Linked DNA regions of Oryzias latipes. The protein of the gene in region 1 interacts with the protein of each later gene in a pairwise test. Links are inferred from orthologs where the notes say so. Each region holds a gene or a part of one and is shown in the gene's direction. Other genes may lie near its edges.

Region 1 (6,256 bases):
GAACTAAAACACACACAATGTTCTTATTGGAATATTTCAGGTAAACTCCCTGGAATTCTGGCTGGTTCAATTGTTGGCGCCTCAGCACTGATTCTGATCATGACAATGATTGTGCTCCACTTCAGAAAGCAAAAAAGGTAAAGTAGAGACGTTTTTTTTAAACTTCAAAATGTTTCCAGCTTGCACCAATATCTCACTTATTTGTTGTTGTCATGTTATTTATTTTTCAGGAAACCATCCAATTCAGAGGAAGGGAGTATCACTGAAGGCTTGTAGCCGAACCCAGTTTATAACTTTTGTTATTTATCGTTAAACTGTAAATGTCTGATAAGTGGGAAATTTCAATTTAAGCAATTTCTTTTTTAAGATACAAGTACTTTTTATGTGAACATAGATAGTTTAAATACGTTTAGATGATAGAAAGATGATGTTCATGTTGTGTCCATAGTGGTTGTTTTTGCATGATTATCTTTTGCTGAGTTAAAAAAAAGTTTTACACCAGATATGGACTTTTTACGAGTGTGTATGGCAAACAACAGTGAAGCTACAACTCCGTATAGCTGCAAATGTATTTCTGCATTTGTCACAGCCCATATGCTTTGAACTTTTGTCATTTTTTTACACTCCAAACATGTGCTTTAAAATTTTTTTGAATAAAAATGTCCTTGTGCATTATGAGCAGAGATCTTACATGTGACTGCTTAGTGTTTCCCTTTTTCTAAAGTTTCTTCTTTATTGACATGAAATGTTATCAACAGCTGATAACTGACTGATGCGAGGAGTGGCGAGTGACCCTTCAGCAGGGGGTCAATCATAAAGATGTCGGTGCTGTTCAGAGAAAATATTAACTGTATCGGCAAGAATATTTGATAAGGAAAACTACTTTTTGCAGCAAAAACCATGTTTCAATTTGAAAGAAGATCATTACTTGTAGTGAAGTCAGACATTTTGAGTTCATTTTTTGAAGCATCTGAACTCAGAAGAATTGCTCCAAAGCCTCAAGAAAGTTATCATAATTGGTGGTGGAAGGCCTAAATGCAGAAGATTGACATGAGGAGGAAACGAAAAACATGAATTTGTGAATTTTGGCATGAATACAACAGCCTGCCATTAAAGCAACAACCATAAAATAAAATCATATATAGTCCAGACAAAAACTAAATGGTGCTTAAATACAGGACCTGACAAAACCAAATATAAAACCAGACCATTAATTAACCGCAAAACAAACAGCTGTGGCTGTTAATAACTTAAACTTTCTGGTGACTTTGAATTTTGGGAAAACACAAAACACAGGATAGAATAAAATAAGTTAGTTTCTGATGGTTTGAAGTTCAAATTCAAATGAAAATTTCCTTTATAAAATCATAACATTGTATTGATGCACTAACCTTTAAAATTCCAGCTTTTTTTTTGGCCTTTTTTTGATTAGTAGAAAGTGTATTCTTTTTAATTTTTAAGTGATAAAAAACGGATTCCATCTAATGTTTGACATCAAAATAGGTATTTGCACATTGCCAATCCATCACATCATTAGCATCTGGCTGCTATATGTATATCTACCAGTTTTTTTACACTCTGCAATTTAAGACACTTATGCAAAGCTTGTAAAATAAACTTTAGTGAAGTTTGCCCTTACTTTGACCCTAACCTTAACCATAAGTATTGCACACAAATGCACAAATACATATTAGCTGGATGATAACACTATTTTACAGAGGCCAATGCACTTGTGAGCTACAGTAAAATGTTACAGTATATTCACTTTATTTGGTTTCTTATCACACACATTAACTCTGGGTTATTTCCAAGAATTTTTGGATTTACAACTGAAGAGCGTTTTCCTTTCGATGACCCTAAAACACCTTTAAACTGATCTATGCTCATATTTTCATTGATTGCACACTTTAGACTTTTTTATATTCATTAGTAAACTAGCAATAGCACAGCTAAACTTCAGGCAATATTTTCTTTTAACATGTGCTTAATAACATTCTTAAGCAGACTGACATCAAGTCTGTTGTAACCTGGTGTGTCAAACATTAAAACCTGATAAACAATGAAATGTTTATGAGCAGAGTTCAGAAATATTCACGTTGCCTCCCTGATAAATGCCATTCCTCAGATAATTTATCTCACTCAAGCTCGGTTTATTTTTTGAACCCATGAAGATGTTTCTGTGAAATTCCACACCAGCTCCAGAACTCCATAGTCTTTCTCTCCATCTGTTTTTACCAGCTGTAAACACGTCTTTATCTTCTTCACCCTGAGATCCTGTTTGCTCTGCAGTTTTGCTCTTAAGTTAAGTTGGGAGGCTAAAAGCAACGCTTGTGTTTACCGTTTGACTTTTTGTGTGCTGCTTCACATGCAGCTGTGGTTTCGGTGGACAAAGAGCTCCAGTATGTGACGGGACTGCAGAGGCCATGGCTGAATGACACGACTTCTCCCTGCTTCCAGAATCATTCCCCAACAACTTACCGGAGACACTCAAAAGATATAAATACACATAATTGGCATTGTCCTCTCCGAGTCCCAGGGCAACAGGAGAGTTGACGCCCCGGCCCATCACATTTCATCCCTTACATCACACTTGTTAAAGCACAAGTGTGAAGAGGAGGCCGTTGGTTATATAAAGCGTGTGAGTGGATTGCTGCGGACTCCAAAATAGGCTTTTCCCCAAACCTCCTGCTTACTTACAGTTTTTGAGTTTCGTTTTGGTTGGTCTGATCTCGTCTTGCATTTTTCTGTCAGGTGGGAGCAAGAGCTTTTATTTTCAGTCTCCTTTTCTTGAGTTTTGAACCACATGGGTGATCAAAATAAAACACTATCCCGGCCCATATTCCGTCGAGATGTCCGCTGGGATCCTTTCCCAAACTGGACTCAGCCAAGCCGTATTTTTGCCCAGGACTTCGGCATTCCTCCTTTCCTGGAGCCCAATGATCTGGACTGGCTTGACTGGGCAAAAAAGAGACTGGCTTCTTTCTCCTGGCCGGGTTACACGCAAAGCCCCCTCCTGCCTCCCATCACGCCGGACCAGAAGAGTCTGAGACAACTGACTAGCGGTGTGTCTGAGGTGAGAACGGGGCAAAACAGCTGGAAGATCAACCTGGACGTCAATCATTTTTCACCCGAAGAGATCTCCATCAGCACAAAGGATGGCTACTTGCAAATATCAGGTACGTAGGCTTAATTTTTTTTCATTTTATACATAAAGATGTTTATTAATAATTACTGTTTTTTTTAAGGAACTCATGAAGAAAAGCAAGATGAACACAGTTTGGTTTCAAGATGTTTCACTCGTAAATACAAGTAAGGAGGCTGAGAAGCAAATTCGAGACACATTTAGGATGCGACCGTAACATATTTCTGTTTGTGACAAACGTTCTCTCATTTTTTTCGAGGTTACCACAAGGGGTGAATCTGCAGCACATCAGCTCATCCCTGTCCTCAGAAGGAATGTTGTCCGTAGAAGCTCCCGTCCCAGGAACATCCATCAGCAGCCCGGACAATGAGATCGTCATCCCCGTTCAGACCAAAAAGACACAGGACAGTGAGAAATGAACATAGTGAGCAGAAAGTAGCTCAAACTGTGCATAGCAGCAATTATTAAAATTACACAAAGCAGACTAGATTGCTTAAATTTAATGTTATCATTTGCTTTTTGGGAGATTTGAGACTTTTATAATCTAATTTAAACTTAATAAAAAGCAGAAATGGTATTGGATCCAATAAAACAAACCCTTGCTGTCCTTTTTAATTTTGTAATTTTGCACTAAAATTTTGTTTACTATAAACTGGTCTTTATCTTACTGTTCTTGTAGAATGATTGTATTATGCAATTTCAGCCTTCACAATGAAACAGAAATAAAATTTGGTAAAAATACATTTCTTTCACAGATTGTGGTTTTGTCACAATATTCATTCTTGCAGCTCAAACTTTTTTTTAACATGAAAACTTACACCTAAAAACAGGTCAGAGGTCACCAATTTTTTACAACCCATAATAACTAACAGTATATTGTAAGGATCAATATTTTAGGCAAGGACACGGAAAAAAGAATAGACAAAAAAAGTCTTTTTGTAGCTGTGCAGCAAAAATTTACTGTTACTAAATTTAAAACGGTGTGAAGTATGATATTGTTTGTACGAGGTTTCTGAAAATATTATATCATTACCTTGTAAAACAGTTTTAACTGCAAATTTAATAAAGATTTAAAGACTTAACTTAATTTTTTTACCTCTTAAAAACTCTACCTTAATTTGGGGGAAATGGAGACAGCACTCCAAAGTTATATAAAACAAAAATAAAACAAATCTAATATTAATAAAAAGACAAACTTAAAATTAAATTAGTTTTGCTCTTTCCCCCCCCTTTAAAGTTCTCTTTAAGTACAAAAGGTCAAAGTTCACTATTTATGCTGATCTTGATTTTAGCAAATTATCTATACAACACCATAAGGTCATTATCAGTTCCTAATAAATAATAAAAAAATAATAAAAAATATTCTACATTAACTATTTATTATTTTTTTACTATGAAAAGAAAAAGATCAGTGCAAGTGACGCAACAAACTAATCTAACCCTTGTGCTATCCTAGGCACTTTAACATTGGGAGATGGGTCATCTAGACCCACCAGACAGTGCGCTGAACCTTTTTTCTTCAATGATTTGTGATGGATTACATGAAATCTTTCCACCTTTACCCACTTTTGTTATGGTAGGAAGAACACGTCAATGTAAGGGTGGGGTCATCTAAGATAGCACAAGGGCTAATCAAGGAATAGCCAATCAAAAGCACAACGGTGACATCTACTGTTAAAAAAGGAGCATTACATGAAATTGAAAAACGTCAGGAGAATCATTTCATGTTTTGCACAGCTTGGAAGATCCTCCAGAAATGGATGCTTTGTTATAAGTATCTTGCATTTCTGCTTAACTTAATGTTGGCTTATCTCCTAAATGATCACAGCTCAATACATTGGGATAAGTCCAGTAGACAGCTTTAAACAAAGCATAGTCAGAAATAGTTGATTAAGCTTTTGGAGGTGTTTGTCATGCTGGCTCCAGCTGCTTTTTAAAGTAAATACAATTCGAAAATGCCAGTTTATTAGGTCTCAAGTACTAATTTCCTATTTTTCTAGAGTGGTTCATTTATAGATTTTTTACATAATGTAGTTCACTAATGAAGTTTCCCCTAAAGGTTTCAGACCAATCACGGCCCCATCTTACAGAGGAGCAAAACATCAAATAAAGGAGCATGAATTCCTCTGGTGCAAAATAAGGGCCTCTGGTTCAAATGCACATTTTCATTTTATTTATCTTATAGAAGCCAAAAAAGACAGGGGTAACTTGCACGAGGAAGTGGAGATCTGTTTTTTATCGGATGAATGAGAGTTTTATTAGTGCAGTGTGTTGCAGAAGAAAAAGACAACAAAACAAACACATTGACAAGTTTAATTAGAGCTCTAAAATTAAAAGTACTGTTGAAAATGGGGAATTTAATATAATAAGTGTAAGCGTTCCAACTATAGGAAACTGTGGAATTGGTTTCAGACAGGAGGAAGGAAAGAAGGAAGGAAGGAAGGAAAGAAGGTAGGAGGGAAGGAAGGAAGGGATGGAGTGAGTTGGATTACCTCAGCCTGGTTGAGGTTTGCCTGTAGTGTAGTGGTGTCTCTTTAAAGGAAGGGGGAGTGTAGAAGAGGGACAGAGGAAAGAGATGAATAGAAGGCACGAGAACCACCTACCATGACCAAGTGCGTTGTAAATGTAGGACAGAAATTGGAGTGGACCACAAACGGATCGTTGAGCGACATCTTCGAGGGAAAACCATGTTTGGATGCGCCTCAACGGAATCGGCTGTTTTTCAATGTGCCAGCAGCGCACGCGAGCGTCGGAGCACAGGGAAACGGGTTTTCCTCTCAAACATTCCCTGCTTTCTAAAACGGAAAAGAAGAGTGGCAGCACAGCACATCCCCGTGGCATCTTCTTCTGATCACCAATGTTAGGGATTGCATAATTCACCCTTTGGTTCCTCTGCTTTTCAGACGCCAGAAAGGGGAGAAAAAAACGACTACATCTAGTGGCTGCATTTGTTTGGCAATGCCCTTTTCTCTCCCAGGAAGGACTTGCGCTCAGTAGCTGGTGAAGGATGCGTTTAAGGCTGGATGCGTGCTGCATTCAGGGATATTCGGCAGTAACAGCGGCTCTATCAGCAGAAACGTCAAGTGCGGAGGCCCTGCTCCACTATCTCCTCCT
Region 2 (6,904 bases), on another chromosome or scaffold:
ATATTTAAGCGTACCTTTCCCAGAATCTTCCTCCCGTTCATGGCCGCCAGAGCCGCTGCAGCATCTCTGTGTTCAAAAAACTCCACAAAGCAGTAGGGATCGTTGCTAGTGTGCTGCAAGAAGAAAGATGAACCCCAACGATTTACAAAGATGCTTCCACGCTTTATCACCTTCATACGCAAATCCGTTTCCATGAAAACCGCTCTCACCAGACCTGAGACGTCACATTTGTGATCACCAAAAGGTTACATGCTTCACCTTTATCTTAACGTTTGTCTGGAAATAGAACCTACTTTTTATTTGTTGCCTTTTCTCTGCATCTCATCTCATATTTTTCCCAATCAAACAAATCTGAATGTGTGAAATCTGCTCCACAGAGCTACAGGGTCTAAAGAAAAGACAGTTTCTGTTTAGACTCCAAGAGAAAATCCTCAGGATTGATTTTCGTGCTGCAAAAATCTGCTTTTTCCACCTTTGACATCTATTCCTCTTCTTTTTATACATTATTTACATTTTTTCATATGTAGAAAAACAAATTAAATCAGATAGTGGAGAAGAAACTATTCATTGGTTATTCCAACCAGATCCATCTGTCAGGCGATTTATAAATCATATCGACCTAAACTATTATAAAATCATTTCAAAATGAAATAAATTGATTACATTGAAATTGGAAGATACCATCTGGATTGAGGTACAATAGATTTATGTGTCTCTAAGGTAAAACCGACCAATCACAGCAGACGACACACATGTGACATCAGTCCATCATTCCAGTCCAATGTGTGGACAGACTTTGAATAAAGTCATGTGACCATCCAGTGTCTAGAATGTTCTAAGAATGTTCCCTTTGGATTCTTTGGATGTGGAAAAACAACAGTGGTGAACTTTAGGAAACTAACATGTGAATGGATTTGACATTCATTCTAGTTTACTTGTTGGTTTGGACACAGATTTCATTTAACTTGATGATCTGGAAGAAATCCAAGAATCTGGAAAACAGTTCAGTAGCAGGAATTTCTGTCTGAGTCTCACTGCTGGAAGTTTGGATCAAGAGGATCTGGATCCACTTTAGGACAGAGGATCGGATCATCAACCACAAATTATATGAATGGAATCATTAAAACGAATCGATCCAGCCCTATGTCAGATACTAATACCAAAAGAAATCTGAACATCAACCAGTAATGCTCCATTACCTGCTAACCATGAGATGGTTGTGTGTTTACATGAGTTGGTGAACGGTACCTCTGTGATCATTTTGCAGCTTTTGCAGGGTCCGATCTGGGTGAAGAGCTGCAGGATCAAAATCTCGGTAACATCTCTGGAAAGGTTTCCGACGTACCTAAAGCACAGAGACGGGATTTACATCATTACCATCCAGTTAAAAGTAACATCTTTCTATGTTATTCTGCATTTGTTTAGAGTAAGGTTATGTAGATCCCGTTACACATACTTTCCATGAACTAGTAGAAAATATAAATATATATATATATATCCTCGTAAACTAAGTCTAGTCTTATTTCGTTCCAAGCTTTGCGGTTACATTACCGCCACATATAGGAAAGCTAGAACACACCGGGTTAACATTGACAAGCTAAGCTAGCCGATATTTCCAGATGTTAGCAAACACTATGACACAACCGGGGGAGGGGGGCTTACAGAGTTCTGGGGTGGCTTTCGTCGTCCATGATCGATGCTGAAAGTCACGTGGTCCTAAAACGTTAGCTGCTTAATACCTAGCTGTCATTTAGCGACACTAGTGTCAAATACAAAGCAGCTAGTTACCCAGCTCCTCAGATGCTAACTGACGGGAACAGAGCGTACGTCAGACCATGAGTGTTTCTCTTGCGCATGCGTAACAGCCTGTCCTACGGAAAAGGTGAAGTAGCCTAAATTTAAACCTTTATAACCTTTATAAGAAAATGCAACGTTTGAAAAACGAAGGTTAGATTTTCTGTATCAATCATCTATTTCAGGGTGACGCTATTAAACGGCAATAGAGAAAAGTCTTTTTTTCCCCTGACGTTACGTCATTTCCTTAGATTTTAAGCGGAAGTAAGGGTTCGCTTGTTTTAAGGACCCTCCTGAGACGATGCCCGTTTGTGTCAGCTATAACTGGAACAGAGGGGATTTCTGGAAGCTCGGGTCAGGTGTCAGCGCGTGTGAACTTGTTTTTAAACACCTTTCATGTTTTAATGTTCAGCTATCGAGTTATTTTTATTCTTCTGTTTAAACTCTGCTGTAATGTCCGGACTTGATGCTGTGTGCTTTATAAAGTTAGGCTTTGTGTAGCCTGTAGAGTTCTTTTTACAGATTTTTGACTAATCAGAATAATTTTATTGTCATTGTATATGGTGATACAATGTAATTGCAGCAGCCTTGGAGTGATGAAGATAAATAAAATATGTATTTAGTGTAAAATTTAAATGTAAAGAAAAAAAATTAATTCACACGACACTAATGTGATTATCCTTATAACAACAGTATAGTAAAGGGAGAATGGATTATTTTACAATAACTCTAACCCATAAACAGTTTATCCCAGTATATATGGTGAGTCATAAACAGTCTCTGACATGACCTTATAGAGTCACAGAAAGCTTAGCCTTATCTTTATAAAGGACATTATTATTATTATTATTAAGAGTTTAACTATTAATCTAGTTAATTAATAGTTAATTAATATTAATTAATTTCTATTTGTACAATCGAGTGGACCTATACCATTATAAACTCGTGTCAAAATCAATTAAATCAATATTAGAAAATTCCATCTGGATTGAGGTAAAATTAATGGTCACACTCCTAATTATTTATTAATTTTTTCAACATGAATAATTTACTCTCCTGTTTTGCAGCATTTGACATAATTTAAACTATTTATAAATAACAATGGTTTCAAATATCAGTTTGATAATCAAACAGCTGTTTGCTGCACATATTTAGAATGACTACTTTGTATGTTTTTAAATCTTTTAAAGTTGTTTTAAAGTTTAGATCCTTCATATATGTTTAACATAATCATTAGATAGTATCCACTAGAATTTAGATTCCAAAAAGCGGCTTTAATATGAAATATTGATGAAAGCAAATGTTTGTCTGGACTGGAAAACAGAGTAATGTTATAAGCAGCTGTCTCTTTGTGGGGGGGTTGTGTTTGAACCTTTTGATTTTTCATTTTGTTTGTAGATTTTTACTCATTTTTAATGATAAAATAGAATTGGACTAGTTTATTTAGTGACCAAATCTCATTGAACATGTGTTCCTCGCCGGAGGCACGCATGTGTTTTTGAACATGTTTAGCCCCCCCCCCCCGTCTGGGCTCTGATGGAGTCGTCTCCGCTGCTCTCCGGTCCGTCGTCACGTTTCAGGTGGAGCTGCTCTCGGTAAACCCTCGTGGGGGTCTCCGGCTTGGATCTGCAGCTCCGCCCCCCCCCCCCCCCCCGCCCCCCTTGCCGCCCCCACAGTTAACCCTGCTATTTCCAGAAGCTTCCAGCCCACTTCCCCACGTCACTCCACGGAGTCTTTAAAGCGCCCGCCGCCCGTATAAAATGTCTTAGTACCGGAGCGCGAGCAGCATGAGCGCCGTGCAGACACGCGCCCCCGCGCCGACCATGGCTAACAACGACAGCGACCCCCTGCCCCTCGGCTGGGAGGTCAAAATCGACCCCCAGACCGGATGGCCGTTTTTCGTGGATCACAACAACCGAACCACAACCTGGAATGACCCGAGACACGTCGCGACAAAGGTGAAGGAGCGCGCGGGCAAAGTTGCTTCCCCGGCGGGAAGCGCTCGCGGGGAATCTGCGTTGGTTGTTTCTGCGGAACATTGTATTGTCGGTGGTAACGGCTGATCGGTCCCGCCATGTCCTCGTGTCATCATAACTATTATTACGCGATGAGTCACCCTGCAGTATGTGGCGGCCGGGACGGGGGGGCCGTTTTCACATTAAGGTCATTTTCCCAGCAGGGACCGCGGCTGGGCTGCTGTGTGTGGCGGGGGCTGCTGGGCGGGCGGTCCCGGGCAGAGGGCAAAGGGTCGTTCCGGAGGAGACACCGACGGGGTACCGATTGTTGACCGTTTTCCTCCAGGTTTTGGTCTCCTTTGGTTGGGGAGGGGGGGGGGGCATCAGACCTGTTGCTCTCTGCTCCTTCACTTCTTCCTGACATCTCGTGCTTTTATTTTTAAATTCTCTTCCTGTCTGATCGGTTTTCATGGAGGAAAATAGTTCACAGCGGTGACCTGTTCCATAAAGAACATTCAAAAAGACAAACAGTTGGTCTCCTTCAGATTAAAAGTGCTGTCCTGTGTGATGTTGGCGTGTTGGGGGTCAGAGGGGGGGGGCGCTGGGCACAGGGACACATCTTCAGGAGGCAAACTAGCAGCTGCCGGGCTGGAATGCAGAGGTTGTTCTGGCAGGGCAGCGTCACTTTTGGCTGCTGGGTGAGGAAATGTGACCCGGGACGGAGAAGGCGGAACGTGGATCTGGAGAAAGCGGAACGTGGATCTGGAGAAGGCGGAACGTGGATCTGGAGAAAGCGGAACGTGGATCTGGAGAAAGCGGAACGTGGATCTGGAGAAGGCAGAACGTGGATCTGTGGAGGATTTCCACCTGCGGCCGGACGGTCGCGAACACAGACGTCTGCACAGACGCTCACCTGACGTCAACGGCCCAAAGCACCGTTATATTTGGAAAACACACCTGGAAAACATGGAGGCAGCATGAGACGGGGGCTTTGTGAGCAGCTGTGGTGCAGAGGTAGAGCGGTTGACTCTGGATTAGGAGGTCTCGGGTTTGATTCTGGCCTTGCTCTGCCCCCATCAGAGTGTGTAAAGCACTTTAGGCTTTAGAAAAGCACTATAGAAGCACAAATACACAATTATACAAAATATCACTGATGAATCAGTGGTGGAAGTCTTAAAGTTTTTACCTGAGATTTGTGTGTGTTTTTTTAATGAATTTAAAGGTTTTTTGGTTCTAAATTCTTTCCCCTGCCTATATTTCAGAGTAGAGAAGCAAACGGACCCAACATACCTCCAGAACAACATCCTAAGGAGACCCAGAAGACCTTTACCCGAGAGATGAAGCACCCGATTCTGCGGCCCGGCTACATCCCCATCCCCGTCTTCCATGAGGGCGCAGAGCTGCGGCAGCAGCCGCCGCATCCCTGCTGTACGTACATCCAGCCAAGCACAGCGCAGAGTGTCCGGTACGAAGGTCAGGCTCCTTCGCACGCCTCCGGACTTCACGGCAGGCCCAGATCGCCGTTACACGTGGCCTCAGACAGCTGCTCCTCTGAGCCCGGGAGGGCCAGCACGCCCACGCCGCCAACCACAGAGGTACGGGTAACATTTGGGTTCTTCACTGACAGCCACCCTTGATTACAGTGGGAGTTTTCAAAATAACGCATTTCATACACGGAGGAGATTGATTGACAAGGTCAACAGCCAATCAGGATGCAGAACATAGCGAGCTGTGAAGTAAAATGGAAATTGGCTATAAAAAGGTGGCCGGCGATCTAGTGAGGGACCAGCATGAGCTGAAGCGGGTAACATTTGTGCGACCAAACGTGTTCACTGCGTTCTGACTGTGTTGCTGCTCAGGTGCACACCGCCACACACCACCAACCGTGTCGACCCGGCAGCACCGGCCTCCAGGCCGGTTACATTCCTATTCCAGTCATCCATGAGGGCGGAGGGGGTCCGCCTCAGGTAAACCCCGCCGTCTACTCTCAGCGCGCCCCCTACCAGCGCCTCCAGACAGACGAACGGCCCGCCTACTCTGCGGCGCCGTCTTCTCGGGAAAGTGCTTCCCCGACGTCGCTGTTCCCGCAGCACCGGGACGCAGCGTCTGCCCGCCTCCCACCTTCGCTTAGGAGCCAGTCCCCGACGGTATCGCAGCTGCAGGCGGACAGACCGCAGGTGGGCTTTCCGGTCTTTTCCTTTTGCCAGCGTGTCCCAGATTCTGACATAAAACTGTAACTTTGTTATTTGGATCTCAGCAGAACCTCCTCACTAGAGACCCGGCCCAGAAAGTGGAGCAGGAGCTGCAGAAAGCAGAGAACCTGCCGGTTCCTCAACCGCAGCTCACAGAGGTGGACGCTCCACATCTGGAGCAGCCTCAGTCCCAGGAGCCGCAGCATCACGTTGCAGACATCACGGTTCAAATCCCTCCAAAAGCAGAGGTTCAGGACCCAGCCGGCCCTGAAGCCCCCCCAACCAGAGCAGAGGGGGAGCAGGGCGCCGTTCACCCGGGCTTGGCGAAGGTTCAGCAGATCGTGGGACGGGTGGCTTCGCTGGAGCAGGAGGCCAAGGCTTTCAGCGGGAAGAAAAATGATAAGAAATACCTGCTGCTGGAGGAGCTGCTGACCAAAGAGCTGCTGGCTCTGGACTCTGTCGACCCGGAGGGACGCGCAGATGTGCGGCAGGCCCGGCGCGATGGAGTCCGGCGGGTTCAGACCATACTGGAGGAGCTGGAACAGCTGGAGGAGCGGCCAGCCAAGCCCACCAGTGAGACGCCGGCGGACGGTGACAGAGGAGAGTCCAAGGAACATTATGTGACGGCCAAGGAGATTTTCTGAGGAGCTCCCGTTCAGGAGCAGAGGATGCCGGCGGACTCCTCCGCCTGAAGCGTTTGTGGAAGCTGCATGCGTTCAGTGGTCGTTTGTTCCTTCAGCACTTAACTGATGGTAGCTCAGCGCCGTTCGTTTTTGAGCCATCGTTCTCGCCGTCAGTGTCCTTGTAAATTTGACTGCGACCATCAGTGAGGCGTTGACGGCAACCGCTAAGCAAATTTGAGTTTGAAATGAGGCCTTTATTACAGCATCAAAGAGAAATCCCAGTATTTTCCTAACAGAGTCTATGTGTCGTTGCCTTTAGTCTGACAGGAAACGGTGTGAC

The links. The genes of interacting proteins can lie anywhere in the genome.
Region 2: the proteins of heat shock protein beta-1 (region 1) and bag3 interact in binary tests that used the Homo sapiens proteins (3 or more experiments, as listed by UniProt). The link is inferred for Oryzias latipes from reciprocal best matches to the Homo sapiens genes HSPB1 and BAG3.

What each region holds. Positions count from the first base shown.
Region 1 is NC_019870.2:13,680,316-13,686,571, reverse strand, and holds heat shock protein beta-1, read left to right. Parts: upstream 1-2,610; 5' UTR 2,611-2,803; coding exon 2,804-3,176; intron 3,177-3,245; coding exon 3,246-3,309; intron 3,310-3,401; coding exon 3,402-3,561; 3' UTR 3,562-3,885; downstream 3,886-6,256. Other genes in the region: sushi domain-containing protein 2, read left to right, coding at 41-137, 231-276. UniProt on the Homo sapiens protein: Small heat shock protein which functions as a molecular chaperone probably maintaining denatured proteins in a folding-competent state. Plays a role in stress resistance and actin organization.
Region 2 is NC_019873.2:29,856,834-29,863,737, forward strand, and holds the start of bag3 (BAG family molecular chaperone regulator 3), read left to right. Parts: upstream 1-3,504; 5' UTR 3,505-3,581; coding exon 3,582-3,752; intron 3,753-5,011; coding exon 5,012-5,344; intron 5,345-5,608; coding exon 5,609-5,926; intron 5,927-6,006; coding exon 6,007-6,585; 3' UTR 6,586-6,904. Other genes in the region: tial1 (nucleolysin TIAR), read right to left, coding at 15-113, 1,249-1,345, 1,663-1,691. UniProt on the Homo sapiens protein: Co-chaperone and adapter protein that connects different classes of molecular chaperones including heat shock proteins 70 (HSP70s), e.g. HSPA1A/HSP70 or HSPA8/HSC70, and small heat shock proteins (sHSPs), e.g. HSPB8.